Linked DNA regions of Elephas maximus indicus. The protein of the gene in region 2 interacts with the protein of the main gene of each other region in a pairwise test. Links are inferred from orthologs where the notes say so. Each region holds a gene or a part of one and is shown on either strand. Other genes may lie near its edges.

What was found. The genes of interacting proteins can lie anywhere in the genome.
Region 1: the proteins of GIT1 (region 2) and HMOX2 interact in a two-hybrid assay, tested with the Homo sapiens proteins (2 studies listed by BioGRID and IntAct). The link is inferred for Elephas maximus indicus from reciprocal best matches to the Homo sapiens genes GIT1 and HMOX2.

What each region holds. Positions count from the first base shown.
Region 1 is NC_064830.1:62,538,752-62,546,952, reverse strand, and holds the start of HMOX2 (heme oxygenase 2), read right to left. Parts: upstream 3,528-8,201; 5' UTR 3,466-3,527; intron 3,407-3,465; exon of another isoform or gene 3,382-3,406; intron 1-3,381.
Region 2 is NC_064837.1:22,374,599-22,382,409, reverse strand, and holds the start of GIT1 (ARF GTPase-activating protein GIT1), read right to left. Parts: upstream 3,517-7,811; 5' UTR 3,308-3,516; coding exon 3,256-3,307; intron 1-3,255. Other genes in the region: ANKRD13B (ankyrin repeat domain-containing protein 13B), read left to right, coding at 7,437-7,550. UniProt on the Homo sapiens protein: GTPase-activating protein for ADP ribosylation factor family members, including ARF1.

The DNA.
Region 1 (8,201 bases), on a different chromosome or scaffold from region 2:
TCTAAATAAATAATATGTACATGCACATATAAAGCAAAATGTCTAGTACTGAATAGCTGTTTGTGATTGAGAAAAAAATGTTACAAACTGATTAACTAGCTTAATTGCGTACTTCACAATTCAATCATTTTGGAGTATATGTAAAAAGCCAGTCCATCTGTAAACTCTAAAGTCAGATACTCAAGAAAAATTTTTAAAAATCTGACCCAATCCCTACTCCATAAGCAGACTAGACAGCACTTAGCTTACTTTTAAAATACTTGCCTAAAATGTATCATATAAACAAATGCATGTTCGCTAAAAGTCTTCTAGAATTATATCAAAACGACACTGAAACCTATTTGCTGAGAAAAGCCTACAGAATTTAATTCCTGATTTGAACTACCTAGTTAACAGTGCAGAACATTGCTGAGTGAGGAGGATCTGAATACAGATGTGGTTGACATGAAGACCCAGAAAGAGTTCCCATCTCCTCTTCAGTAGGCCATGATCACACTTTAGATAGTCTTTTGACGGGCTGTTTGTAAATGAATCCACTTTACAATAGCTGTACGCTTTAAACTATTTATGACAAACTCCAACAGCATTACTGTTCTCTAACTAAAACACACTGATGGTTCAGAAAAGATTTCTTGCAAAATACATTAATAAATGTCACTGCATATTCTGTAAATACATTTAACATTGTTAGACCAGCCCATCAGTTACGGGCTGCCGTATTTCAGTACTTGTGTCAAATTTATTAGAAATTTTATAAGAAAACTTCTGATTGACTCAGCTGCCTTTATTAGCTGACTTTAAAAAGTGTCACAAAATGGAAGACAACACCTTACAATAAATATGTGGAGTTGATTTAGAAAAGTAAACTGTACAGTGGACAATATTACTATCAGAGTGATCACCAAAATGAAATGCCTTCCAGTACAAAAAAAGGGAAGACCTCTATACAAGCAGTTATCTCAACAATTCCAATTAAAGATTCATCTCTCACTTGTTGCTGGCAAAAATTAATGGGTAATGGCACTGTTTCCCAGCAGTGCAAAAATATCCTGAGAAATTACTCAGATTACAACAAAAGAAACAGAGCTTTTATCCTATGGTTCTGCACAAAACAAAGCTACTAGATATCATAAATAAGCTAAGTTTAAAAGCAGATAATCTTCACTGTGTTAAACACAGAATAACAGAAAAAAGGTGTCTATAACTTTTGAGTTAACTATGGCCAATAACGGAAACTCTGGTGGCGCAGTGGTTAAGAGCTAGGGCTGCTAACCAAAAGGTCCGCAGTTCAAATCCACCAGGTACTCCCTGAAAACCCTGTGGGACAGTTCTATTCTATCGAATAGGGTCGCTATGAGTCAGAATCGACTCGACAGCAAAAGGTTTGGTTTTTGGTTTCAATGGCCAATAATATACAAGGAGATAATCTGCAGTTCAAGTTTTCCTCTGTTTTCTCTCCCAGAAGTTACAATCTGAATTCTAAATTTTACACCAAAACATACAATTCCAATTTCCAAAAAGATCTTACTTGTAGAGGAATGCTATTCCAATATTTGGTGCAATCCTGATACAGAGCCCAACAGTCCTACAAAAAGTGAGCTTTTAAAAGTAAACCAAAAAAAAAAAAATCATTGATTTGTAAACTTTCACTTAAAGCACAATAAAAATTATTAAAAAATATATATATATCAGCGGTAGCCCAAAGGTCCTAGCTGTCCAGTTCTGCAATTCTTCAATGGGCTTGAGGGGTAAGCTAAAGGTAATAAGCACTTTACTTTCTATAATTCATTTTCTTGTTGGCATAGTCACTTCTACAGTAGCTCATATTCCTGACACTGGGAACTCACAGCATCTCTTTATTGAGCAAGCAAAGGAAATCAAGTGGACAATGGGGAACCACAGGATTTCCATCTTCACATCCCCGGTTAATGAGCTCATTCATTTAATGACTGTGTATTTCCAAGGTCCTTTGAATTCCCATACCCTCACCAGTTTTTTAGCTTAGGTACTATTTTTTAAAACTCTTTCCAGTTTCACTAGATAAACTTGTAAATGCCCTTAAGAACTGTGAACTCCTGGTAACCAAAGATTATATCTTATGATGCTTCTTGGAAAAAATCTCATCAACAAACCACAGACTTCCTAACATACTCCTTATCTTCCCCTACCCCTATCCCACAGAAGGAGAAATGGAAATTGTTATAAGGGAGTTAAAATTATCAAACAAACACACACACATAGACACAAACACAGGGTAAAGCCATACCAGAAATTAAAATACACAAAACAGTAAGCTAATGTTTCCTTTTACTGGAGAGGACAGTTTAGCAGGAGGGGTAAAATCGCTTAAATAACATAATCCACTTCCAATCTTAACAATCATATTTAAAGAAAGAGCACCAAATCTGGAGGCAGATGACCAGGTTCAAGAACATCTGGGCCAATCTCTTGGTTGTGGGATCTAGGTTAAGTCACATAATCTGAATCTCATCATAACTTTCATTTCACAAGTGGAAAAACTCCCAGGGTTGTTGAAAGGGGCCAATGAAAATCTTTGAGAAAGCGTCATAAACTATAGGGCACTATAACACTGCCTTTTTTAATCACACTCCACATTGTCTGGTTTAGGTATCAAGACACCACAGTGAGGATACACAGCCACAGACCAAAATAACTAGTTCATTAGAATCATTTCAAATGGCCTGAAACACACAGGTCTTGTGCAAAGACTGTGCAAGGCAGTCCTGGCAGCTTCTACAAGGAAATTATTACACCTGTGCTTCTGACGTGACAGGTAAACTCCTCGTCCAGATTAACCAGCTGCCCCTAGAGCTGATCCCTCTCAATCGCGTAGAAGTCATGATAGTGATTCAAAGGGCACCACTTCCGACTGTGAGTCAGTAAAAGGGCTTACCCCCCCCAGGGAATGCCAATGGTCAGCACAAGGCCCCACGCCGGGCACCAATCTCCGACGTGCGCGAGGGTCCGGTCCTCCCAGGCCCAAAAACCGATGGACCAAGCCAGGCTGGCGGTCAGAAGCTGCAGCGCCAATTTTACAGCCGGCCCGAAGCTGCGACCCACGGGGTCACCTCACCAAGCACCCTCGTGATATTGGGAGGGAGTGGGCCCAAATGAGCCCATCAGGCCTTCCTACCTCCCTGCTGAAATATCCTCTTGAAAGCGGCGTCTCCAGCTTTCACCCTTACCTGTCACTTTCCCCACGCCCGTCCCTGTCCCCCGGTTCCACTCCTTGGCCCCGTCCCCAGCGTCACCCCGCTTCCGGCTGCCCCCCACCCCGCAGCGCCCCGGGCCGGCCCTTCTCTCGCCGTTGGTTGCCCCCGAACCCCGGCGCCGCACCAGGAACGCAGCGGAGGGCAGTACCCGGGCGGAGGTCAGGGCCCGCCGTGGGGGTAACGCGGCCGGATGAGCCCGGGAGGAAGGCCTTGGAGGACGTGAGCCACTCACCAGCCACGGGTGCACTGCGCCGGTCCGTCAGTGGCACCGCCGCCGAAGCCGAGAGCGCGAGCTTGGGGGCGGTCGGACGTGTACACGCAGCGCGTGGGGGCGGGGTCTGTGGAGCCTGTGCTGCGTGGGGCGGGGCGTGGGAAGGATACGCCCCCTGAGGGGCCGTTTGCCAGGAACCGGACACGCAGCCCTGGTTTGGCTGTGGAAATAGGGATGCTTCAGAAAGAATGCTAACATTATTAATAAGAGCAAATGTTTATGAAGACGCCTCTGGGCTACGCGCTTTGCTTGCCCAATCTCATTTAATGCTATTAGATCCATCCAGTTATGCAAGAAATCGAGTCGTCAACCTTAAACACCATCCTCTTTTCCTTTTGCCAGTTCAATCCTTCAGTTCTATGCGGCCCTGCTGCAAACGTATTCCTCGACTCTGCACGCTTCTCTACATCTCCTCTGCCACCAGCCTTCTATCTGGTCTCCCAGCGTCGGCCTTGCCTCATTCTCCAAACAGCAACCAAGGTGATCTTTTAAAAGTCAAAATCAGAGCATTACTCCTCCCCTCTTGCTAAAACCCTTCCACAGTTCCCCATCGCTCTTAGGACAAAGGTCAAAATCCCAGCCATGGTCTACAGTTCTCCTCCCCCTGGCTAGACCATGCCACCACCTCTTCAGACTCACCTGACCTTCCCTCCACCTGCCCTTTCTGCTCCAGCCATACTGACTTCCACTTATTTCCTTAACCATCAGTCAGCATACAGATTAAAAGATGCAATATTCAGCTTTGGCAAACCTCCTACATGCTGTTCGTAGGAGTTATTGGAGATGGAGAGAACAATTTGACAAGATCTGTTAAAATTTAGAATGTGCACACTCTTTGACCCGCTTCTAGGCAGCTATCCTAGAGGAATACTTGCAAGAACTCCAAGAAAGTAACAAAGAAGGGTCATTACAAAACATAATAAGAGACTCCATTTTTATGAAAATTTTGGAACAACCTAAATGTCCATCAAAAAAGGATGAGAGAGTTGGCAGTGGTCATCCATTCAACAAATAAGTTGTGCCACAATTTAAAGAGGGGGGGCAGACCTCACGTAGTGAGGACATGGAAAACTCTTCAAACATAAAGTAGAAAAGAGGAAGGAAAAAAAAAGTCGTAGGAAAATACATTCAATAGATTCCACAGCACATAAATTAAACTAAAAAATTATTGAACACTAGTTAATGATGTGAATGATAAAGTTTTTAAGGGCAAAGAGTACTAGCGCCTGCAACTTACTTGGAAATGCATCAAAAGATTAGATGGTTGATAGATGGTTAGATGGAAAAAGATATCTGATAAAACAAATATAGCAAAATTTTAAAAATTAAAAAAATGTAAGTGGTAGGTATACAGGTGCTCGCTGCACAGCTCTTTCCACTTTTCTCTATACTGTACTTACAAGTTTTCAATAAATTTTTTTGGAAAATACACTCAGTATTGATATGGATTGAATTGTGTCCTCCCCAAAAGAAACATCTTCCACACTAACCCCTATACTTGAAACATGATCCTGTTTAGAAATAGAGGCTTTCTTTTGTTTTTAATGAGGTCATACCAGATCCCTTCTGAGTGGTGTCTTATAAAAAGCAGAGGGGACACAGAGATACACAGAAAGGGAAGACAGACACATTTACAATCAGCCAAGAAATGCCTGGGATTACCCACAAGGAAAGACCCTCCCCTAAATCCAATGTTCTGATTTAGGCTTCTAGCCTCCAAAACTGTGAGACAATAAATTTCTGTTCTTTAAAGCCACCCACTCGGGGCAGCACTAGCACAGTAAAACAGGTTGATCTCTCTCTCTCTCTTTTGAGTCTATGAAATTATTATATATTTCTACATGTTCATGTGTAGGTATATAAATACATCCAAAAACCCCAGAACGTTTACACACTAAAATGACAGAGAGGTCAAAGTCCACTTTTGCTTTACATATACCATTTAAATTTTTTAATGAGAATGCATAAATGCGTTATGTATTACTTGGCTATAAAAAAATAGATTTTAAGAAAAGGAAGTACATTCTGCACTTCCCTCTTTTCCCTACTCTGGCCACATAAAATTGAATTAAGCTGAATGGCAGTGATTGAAGGAGCAGTTGCTGTGAGAGTTCAAATGAGATAATGTGGGGCTTAGCTTATGCCTGCCACTCGCACAACCCCAGTCAAGGGCTCCCACTGTTATCATGAGTGTATGCCACTGAAGTCCTTTGTCAGATACAAAGTCACACAGAAAGTGCTGAATCATGATAGGGTGCACCAGCCAGTAGCTAATCTCTCCCCTCATGTCTCTGGGTTGTGGGTCGTGGGCTGCTTGGGGCCTTGTCTTAGTTACCTAGTGCTGCTACAACAGAAATACAAGTGGATGGCTTTAACAAACAAAAATTTATTTTCTCACAGTTAGGAGACTAGAAGTTCAAATTCAGGGTGCCGGCTCTAGGAGAACTTCCTTCTCTGTCAGCTCTGGGAGAAGTTCCCTGACTCTTTTCAGCTTTTACTCCTGGGCAATCTTCATGTGGCTTGGCATCTGTCTTCCTACATCTCTGCTTGTTCACTTGTTTAATCTCTTTTATATCTGAAAAGAGATTGACTCAAGACACACCCTACAATAATCTAGTTTTGTTAACATAACAAAGAACTCATCCGCAAATGGGATTATAATCAAAGTAGGGGTTAGGATTTACAACACATATTTTGGGGAACACAATTCAATCCATATCAGGCTTCAAAAGGCAAGACCTTTGCCCCAGCCTGTCAAGCTGCCAGCCCACTTCTGGAAAGTCTCTGGGCACCAGCACCACTGGCTGGCAGCCAAGGGTAAGCCACTTTTTGCCTGTCCTGATTTCTAAGCTTCAGGTTCAGCAAGGCCAGAAGGCACTGGGGTTGCTCTGGTCCTGACGCGGCCCTGGAATTTTACTCTTAATTAAACATGGGCATGTAACCTAGGCAATTAAACTGGGTCTCATGCTCAGAAGAACTTTAAGCTTGGTTTAATGCTTTGCTGTTGCCATCTTGAAATTCTCAATCATTTTTTAACAAGGGCATTTCATTTCCATTTAGCAGTGGGCCCCGCAAATTAGTTGCTGGTCCTGCTGGGGACCTTCTTGTTTGGATTTATTTCCTTAAAACAGAGGCCTGGGAACTTTGGATTTTGTGGTTTAACTCCATGCAGCTGAAGAAAAACTGTTACCAGAATAAGGTTCTTGCCTCTCTGGTCAAGAATGAGCAGGTAATGTTACAGGGCAAGGCTTCCCAGCCCAGGACTAAGCCCTGCCTAGGTTCTTACCTTCTTCTGAGCAAGAATGACCAGGAGAGCCTCAGAGGTTCCACATGAAAAAAGTTTATTAGGGACAGAAAGAAAGTAAAAGGCTCATGAAGGAGAGAGAAGGAGAGGGGTTTCCACCTACACTAGCCTCCAGTCTCTCACTGAACAAACGATTTCCTAGGACTTATAAAAGTTCTTAGGAGGGGAAAAGGCATTACTTTTATTCATTAAATGAGTGGAGATTTCCAGGAGAAGGGGAGGGATTATGAAAATCAAATGCGCACGCAGTTAGAATTCAAGATGGACTTCCTGACAGAGGTTGCTGGAACCAAGATGGAGGCTGTCACAAAGGCTGTTGGGATGTCGAACAGGACTTATTCTGGGATGTCGTGCATGCATGATGCCCCTGGATCTTGGTTCGAGCCCCAGCGAGTGGTCTTTGTTCGTGTTTGTCTTACGTGGAAGGTCATTCATAGCCCACGCCGATCTTTACCATGCATGCGCTGCACCTAGTGAGGCCTTGAAAAACAACTGAGGAGAATTATCAGTAATTTATAGCTGGTCAAGAACACAGGGGCTTGAAATGTAGCCCCTTATCTTGTCTAAGCACCTAGTTTGTTAATCACAAGTAGTTCTTGGGTGCCAGCAATAGAAGTTATCTGGTAGTCTGCACTTAGGTTTAGATTTAATTATAGCTGGTCGAGCACCACACAGGGCCTTGAAACGTACCCCTCATTTAATTCAGCCAGCCTGATCTCTTCCGTCTCTGTGAGGCACGTAGAGTTTTCCACAGGAGCAAAGCTTTATTGAAGAGGCTTGCAAGTAGAAGACAGGCGGGCCTAAGCAACCCATATCCCCATCTCACAGAACAAAAGATCCGCCCGGGGTTTTTAAAAGTTCTTGGGCGGGAAAAGATTTATGTTTATTCACAGGCATACCCAGGGTTATGTTAACTACAGCGCGCGGGCAGCAACTTTCCAAGGTGGCTGCTGCCCTGGAGGCCTCTGGGATTCGTAGCAGGACTTACTATGGGGCGCCGCGCCTGCGCAGTCTCCTGGCTGCCACTGCAGCCCTTCACTGCCCCTGGTGGAAGGTCACACAGTGGTCACAGGTGGATGTTCTGCACATGTCCCTGGGGCTGGTTTTCTCCAGCTGCTTCTGAAAGACTACTTTAAGGTTTATGGGCTATTTTCTGATACCCTGCCCCATTGTTCTGGGGAATGGCTTTGTTTCTGCACCCTGGCCCATTTCTTGTTACTTTGTTTGCAGATTTGGGGGGCTCTCTATTCCCTGTCTTAAAACCTCATCTTTTATCAGATTGATTTGTACTTCATTTTTTTTTTTTTTTTACCATTGACTAGGTATTTACTGAATTCCTACTATGTGCTGGACAATGTACTGGGAGGTAGAAGTACAGAGACAAACAAGACAT
Region 2 (7,811 bases):
CTCACCCTCCAGTCCCAGCTGGACACAAAGAAAAAACCATTAGTGGCCTCTAGGGCCATTAGATCTCCAAATAAAGGCCAGCCTCAGCCTCCCTCACTTTTGCTCTACTGCGCCCAGGCCCAGATCCTCACTAGAGAAGTGGGAAAAGCCCACCATCTGGAAAACAGGCAGGAGTAATCCATGTGGAGAGACGCCAGTATGGCTGTTACTTTGAGGGGGCACTGCTGGAGGAAGACACGAGGAACTGGAGTCCTGAATATGCTCTGTGTCTTGATTAGAGTGGTGATTACACCGGCATACACACGCACCAACAAACATACATCAGGCTGAACACGTACAGCGCAGGCATTTTACCATATACACGTTACCGCTCGGTAGAAAAGGGAAAAAAGCCCACAATTCACCCCATTCCTCCATCTGTGTTGTTAAGAGACAACTGAGCCTGCAGGTTGTCCCGTAACATGTCACCAGCTGGTGGCCAGCCTTGCTCACTCGAGGTGCCCATAGAATGGGCATCTTCATCTCTGTGTCCAGGGCTGCCATAGTGGAAAGGTCAAGATGATTGGCCCATGGGTCAGGAGTAGGCCCCTGAGAGCCGGGCTGGGGCTGTGTGGCACAGTAGGTGGAGGAGGAGGAATGGGGAACACTTCCCAACCCCTGCCCCTCTTGCGGAGTCTCAAGGGCAGGCAGGGATGTGCCTGGCAAGAGAGCAGCCATGCCATGTTCAGCTGCTTTGCCACATATTCACGCTGGTCCCCTGTGCCCAGAACTGAAAGCAGAGGAAGGACAGGTCCTTTAGGCTGTACCTCATCTTTCACCTCCATGCCCCCTAAAATTAGCCAACCACAAAAAGACTACCACCCCACTCCCAGGCTGGACTGCAGGACTCCTATCACATTGATGAGTCTGTGACCCTGGGCGGGAAGTGCACAACCAAGGCTTGGCCCTGGGCCTGGACTCCAGATTGCCGGGTATCCTTAGCTCTTACCTGGGCTGCTATGGTACCTGGAGAATACCCTCCATGCCAGGACTAATGTTGTACAGTGGGAGTACGGGATAGTCCCAAGCAGCCAGCCCGGGTCCTGACAAGCATCCAAACACCTGGGGAGTGCCTGCTATGTGCCAGACACCATAGTAGGTGCCAAGGTGCGGTGGTAAGACTGGCAGCACTCTGCCCACCTCACCATCCTCACTTTCTCATCACCTGCCTCTTCCTGACCTATATTCTGGTTCAGGGGGAAAGGAGGTACCTGGGGCACAAATATTTCTGTCAGGGACAAGGACTGAGGACACACCAGCTTCCCACCACTCCTCCCCAGCCTACTGGGCACCCAGAGACTTCAGGCAAGTACTCAGATGCAATGGAGAAAGGACAACTGCATTGCTGACGCTGCCCTCCGTCCCTCTGCCCCAGGGTCAGGACCGCAGACTTGGAGATGGGTTGTTATTAGTTGCCACTGAGTTGGCTCCTACTCGTGGCAACGTTACGCACGGCAGAAAAAAAAGTTGCTCAGTCCTGAATCATCTCCATGATCTTTCATGTGTTTGAGCCCATTACTAAGATTATTGTGTTGATCCATCCTGTTGAGAAATTTCTGGAGATGGGAGGACCCTCAAAAACTATTTCTAGTCAAATTTCTTTGCCTTACAGCTGAAGAAACTGAGGCCCAGAGTGACGGAAGTCTAGTCAAGGGTTACAGAGTAAGCTGGAAACAAAGGCAACTCTAAAATCCAGGCTCCCCTTAAGGGTCACCACTAAGCTCCCCACAGTGCTTCTTGGTGCCCCACACTATGCCCACCCAGTAGAGATGGCAAATAGCCTGGGACAAACAAAAGACAAGCTCTCCTCTTAGCCCTTCCATCCCTCAATCTGCCCGCAGCTGGGGGGAAGGGGTTATAGTTTTCAGTCAAAAAAGGGCAATGGCACCCTACCCGATAGCTCCTCCAGGGCCCTCCAGACTATTACATTCCCCCAGAGGAGGCCTCAGGGTCATAAGCACCCACAAAGCCCTCATGCCTGTGCCCTGACAGGCATGCACCATTTCTAAACACTCTAGCTTGGTGCAACGGGAACCACCAGAACATCTGTGGGGCTCAACCTGTTGGGGTCCCACCCAAGGGGTGGCTGGAAGTTACGAGCACACAGAACATCATCTCACACCCACACCCTGAATTGTGCCTGCTGTCACCCTGGAGTTCAGAGACTCCTGAGTCTTCTCAGGAAGACAGCTCCTTTTCTAAAGAGAACGGACAAGTGTCAGGGCTTCCTTCCCCGGGCTAGCTGCTGAGCTCCAGCACAAGCACATCAGAAAGGAGCAGCTTCTGAGGTCACTGCCCCTCACTTCCTCAGGAGGCCAGGGGGGTTCACACTAGCCAGAACCCAACTCTGCTGGGAAGGGAAACACCTCAGTATACACAGCCAGGAAGCAGGCCAGGAAGCCAACCTGATTCTGGGAATTTGGCACCCCTTGCCACTGCCCCCTACCTGATCCTGGTCAGATCCTGACTAGGGGGCTGGGAGGGGTCTGTGCCCAGGCCGGGACAGTTCCAAGCCCACCTTCCCAAGTAGGCCTCACTGGTGAGCAGGAAAAGCCGAGTCCAGCTGTTTCCAGTCACCAGCAGACCTACGATGTCTCCAGGGAAGATGCCCAGGCTCGTACTGACCCTGAACACCAGGCCTTACAGGGGGCCCCAGCCTTAGGAGCCAGAGGCAGGGAGCCCTAGGAGTAACCACCCCTCATCTGTTCCTGAGGAAACAGTACCAGGGCCCCACCGCACATCAACCCAGCTCTCTGCCCCTTGCCCTCGCCACCCCGGCGGGAGCGCAGACCATGCGAGCAGCAGGTGCAAGGCGCGGGGGTGGCACTGAGATGACACAAACCACCCTCGCCCTCACCTTCGAAATCCTCCGGGCCTTCGCCACAGCCCTCCTGCCACCCCAGGCTGGAGCTTCCGTTTGGATACTGAGATGGAGGTGTGGGGGGGGGGACAGCTAGCTGCCCGCCTCCCTCAGGCTGAGGGGTGGGAGGAGGCGCCGGGAACGTCCTTCCCCGATTGTCCACGGACGCGAGGGGACAGGGGGCCCCCAGGCCGGCCCACCTGCCAAAGACGCGGCTCCGCAGTGGCCCGGGCGGGGACGAGGCCAGAGGCCGCAGCCCCCCGCCCCACCCTCCGGCCCCGCATGACGCTCCCGCCAGGCCCCGGCGCCCGCCCGGCGGCGGCCTCTGTGCGCGGTCCCGCCCCCGGTCCGCTTACCCAGTGCGCTGCAGTCCGCACACACCTCCGCTCGTGGCCCCTTCCGGGACATCCTCAGCGGCGAGGCGGCCGCAGCCCTCTGGGCCAGCGTGGGGGGCGCGGGCGGCGGGCCCGGGCGGCGGCGGTGGCCCCTGCTGCCTGGCCCGGCTCCCGCAAGGCCCCGGCTAGGCTCCGCGCGCCCGGCCAACCGTTCGCCGCTGGGGCCGGCCCGGAACCCGCGGTGCCCGCCCGCTCGCCCTCGGGCGCCCTCCGCCCCGCGCCGCCCCGCGCCGCCCCGCCGCCGCTCGCCGCTCGCTCTCTCCGCCCCCTACGCGGCTCCGGGCCGCTCCTGCAGGAAGCGGCGCAGGCCCTGCCCACCGGGGGAGGGGCAGCCCACCCCGCCCGCCCCGCCGCGCCTCCCGGAGAAAGGAAGCCGGGAGCGCGGGCGGCAGCGGGCGGGGCCGCTTAAAGGGGCCGCGGTCCCTCGGCCTCGCCTGCGGCCCCCGCATCTGCTCCGGCGGCCCCCAGGCCCAGAGGCAGTCGGTGTGAGTCAACCTCGCAGCCGCATTCCCTACGCTTTTGGGCGGAGGGTGGCCTAGGGACGGTGAGCTGGGTTAGGTTAGGGGCCAGGGAAGAGGGAAGGCCTGGAGGCCGATGCCCCCTCCCGGTCAAAGAGCTGTGGCTTGGCGTACCCGCTCCTCTCAGGTTGGGGTGAGGTGTGCGTCTTGCTGGCCCCCATGTGCCCACGCCAGTGTGCCAGTGTGTATGTGTGGTCATACTCTTGCTGAGTGCACCACCCCCTCCCCCCGCCAACAATATGGACGCCCAGGTGCAAGAGAGGTCAAGCAGTGTATCCCCCTGCCTCCGGGCTAAAAATACCTTTATCACTCCCTCCGTGCTTTCACCCGGAAAGGAATGAATTGGGATGCTTTTAAAGACCTCCCAGGAGGTGACCACTGTGCCTTGTGTGCGGAATAGCCCCTTGTCACCCGTCGTGTATACCTCCATCACAAATGCGTCTAGGGTGTGTGCGTACAACATACACGGACCGTTTCTTGTGACGGTCTTTCTTCCCATACTTGTCACCGAGACATGGCAGGCAGGCCCGAGGGGGGAGGCGGGGGACAGGGAGCCGAGGCGCAGGCCGCACGTGGGCGCAACCCCGCACTGAGCATGCTCCCCGGTACACGTGTGCCCCGCGTGCACCCAGCCCCCAGCCCTGCAGCGGCACAAGGCCAAGGCCCTCGGCTTGTGAGCAGAGGGTCGGGGGTGCGGAGGACCAAACTTGGGGACCAGATCTGCGGTGGCAAGGTTAAGGGAGGGCTTCCCCAGTGGCCGGGCGTTCTCGGTAACCAGGACGGGAAGGGAGCCTTTGAGCAGGCGTGACCGAGTTGGTCGATTTCTCCCAGCGGTGCCCGAGCAGCAGTGACTTGTGGGTGGGCAGGCTGCTTCCCTGGGGGAGACAAGTAATGCTCATGAGTCACACCACCCGAAATACACGCAAAGCTGCCTCCATCGCCTTTCGCTGCAACCCAGATTGACAAGTTTGTTTGAAATCGCGATCCACGGGTATATTTATAATCGCACCTTAAAAAAACCTTCTTGCAGGCCTCTCCTCCCCCCTGCCAGCAGCTCAGCTGCCGGGGCTTTCTGTAAGCAAAGATACCTCGCGGGGCTGGAGTGTGTCAGGAGGGGACACCACCTGCCGCCCCATGCTGCGTCGGCATGGAGGAGTCCGCGGGCTGAGTGGTCCCAGGTCAGGCGGCCGGAGGAGCTGCCTGGCCGCCTGGATCCGGCACGCAGCCCACGAGCGGGGCCCCCTGCTTCACCCCCGATCGACCCTCAGCTAAGAAATTTCATTTATTAAATGTCGAGGTGGCTCCTGGCAGCCGGGCCGCTGGGCTTTGTTTCTCTGGTGTGTGGGTGCGTTTCGAGCACGTGGCAGCCGGAGCGCGCAGGCCAGAGGGAAAGCCGGCCTCAGTTTACTGTCCACGATCGCCTAGAAAAGAGAGCCCGCTGCCCAGGGGGCGGCCCTCCCCGCCCCCCCCCCCCGGCTGATTCCCTTCCTTGGGCTCCAGGGCTCTCCAGGGAAGTAGACTGATTGACCTCGCTTCCCGCCCCATCTCCAGGTTGGCCCGGGGACCACCTGGGAGTGGCCCAGGCACCGATCCACTCTCCAAACTTTGTTTCGGAAACCCCGAGCCCCTGCACAGCCGAGTTTCTGGGATTGGGGTAAGGGAGAAAAGAGTTTCTGGATTTCCCTATGTCACCACTACCCGAAGCAGGGCAACTAAAAGAAAATGAGACACAAGGTTCTTAAAACAATTTAATGAGGAAATGTACAAGAATCCTCACAGCCACTCCTGGCCGCCCCTCCCCGCGGCCTAGCCCCCCTCCCCAGCTCTGGCCGCCGCCACGACACTCTGCTGACCCCTTGTGGCCGAGGTGGGCCGCGGCCTCTGGCGGCCGGAGACGCCAACTGGCTCCTCCCAGGCTGGAGAAGCTGCGAGGCACTGCGCTCCTCCCTCATCTCTTCCCGCCGGGGCCTGGCACCGCAGGGTGTGGAGGAGGGAGAGGAGAGCACACAAAAACCTGAGAGAGGCGCGGAGAGTTTGCAAGCATTTGCTGGCACCTCCCACACAAACACATCTTGGGTTGTTGTTGTTCAAGGTGGGGGGGGGGCTGGCGTGGAATCCCTCATTCCTGCCTTATTCTAAGGTGGGCTCAAGAAGGCACCGTGCCTGGTCCTGCCACCTGTCACAGTCGGCCTGGTTGGCGGAGGGAGGCGCCGTTTTGAGGGCAGTTACTATCCTTAGCTCACCCAAGGAGGTAGTATCCAGAGGCTCATTTTAGAGGTGAGTGGCCTCGTAAACTCAGAAATATTAAGCAATTTGAGTTAGTCTGAATTAGAGCTCAGGTCTTTCTGACATCACAGCCCCGCCTCTCCCGGCCTGGGGCCGAGCCTCCAGGTCCTTCCAGCCCTGACAACAGGCAGCCCCAGAAGCCAATTCCACACTTACCACACCCTCTGCTGGGCCGGTTCTGGAAGGGCCTCTCTGCCCTGGGGTCACCCAGGGAGGAGACAGTCTCTGGAATCGGCTACTTCCTCTCCTGAGGGGACCCCATGGGGTGGGGTGGGGAGCTGCCACCTGCTGCTTTCCCTGCTCAACTCCACTCTAGTCGTAGTTGAGGACAGTGCTGGGGGGGGTGATCTCACCTGAGTGGACATTTTCTTTCCAATGTCAAGTGTGCAAGATGGAGTTGAATGTTCTAAGAAGGCAGGGAGGATTCCTAAGAAAAATCTCAGGTGCCAGACCCCTGGCTGCCCCAATGACCCTTAGTACAGATGCCCTGCACCCTTCTCGGGGATCCTGCATCAGCCGCTCTCTTCTGGGTATCTGGATTCATGCTCACAGTCCCTGGAACCCACGCTCAATCCTGAAGGCCACACACCGCCCTTCCCTCAATGTTCAAGGGAGCTCTGCAGCCCCTCCGACCCCCAACAAAGGGCAAAATCAAGTGGGTGGGGGTGCCCCCAGCCCACCTGGCGTCAGGACGCTGCTCCCGTTTCTGTCAGGCCTGGCTCCTCCCCAGCCCTTTCCTGGGAGCAGGAGGACAGTGTGGTACCCTCCCTGGTCCCCTGCCACCCCCAACTCCACAAGGCAGACTACAAGCCCCATGATGCCGCGGGGCCGGGCTACAACAAGCTCTGCCCTGGGTACCCGGGTCCCCCTCCTCTCTCCTTCGCATCCCCACATCCCTCGCCGGCCGCTGGGGCTGAGGGCCGGGCTATGCGGCTGCGAGGAGCCGGGGGCTGCGGGCGCGCGTCCCTGCGGCGGCGGCGTCCCCGGGGCCGGCGCCCCGTGCGCCCCCGCGCCCGCTGCGGGCGCCTGCTCCCTCCGCCGAGCGGCGTCTTTGTGTGCGGGGGTGTGGGAGGCGAGGCGCGAGCCCGCGCCGCGCAGCCGAGTGCCCGCTCCCTCTCCGGGCGGGTGGGGGCCTCTCCGCGCCTCCTCGCGAGGACGCCCGCCGCCCGCACCGCGCCGGGCGCGCCGCCCCCGCCCGCCGGCGCCGCTCGCACATGCCCGAGCCGCAGCCCTGCGAGCAAGCAGCGCCGGCCCCCCGCCCCGCGGCCCCGGGCCCCGGCTCCGGCGCCGTCCCTCCTCCCGGGCCGGGCGCCGCGGCCCCGGCATGAGGAGCGGGCGATGATCCCCGCCAACGCCTCCGCCAGAAAGGGGCCCGAGGGCAAGTACCCGCTGCACTACCTCGTGTGGTACAACCGCTACCGCGAGCTGGAGAAGGAGGTCCGCGCCGGCCAGGTGAGAGCGCCGTCGGGGCGCTGCGGAGACCCCGCGGCCGGGCACGCCCGCCCGGCGTGAGGAGGGGGCGCGGCGCGGGCTGTCCCGCCTCACCGACGAGTTTGCAGCGCTTCTTTGTTCGCAGCCGCGGCTTTTGTGTTTGTTGACCGGAGAGGGTGATGGGAGCGGGCGGGGGCCGGGACGGGCGGTCCCCACGTGGTCCGGACCCTCTCAGATTGGGGTGGGGAACACTGTGCCCCACCGCCTCCGGGGCGGTGAGAG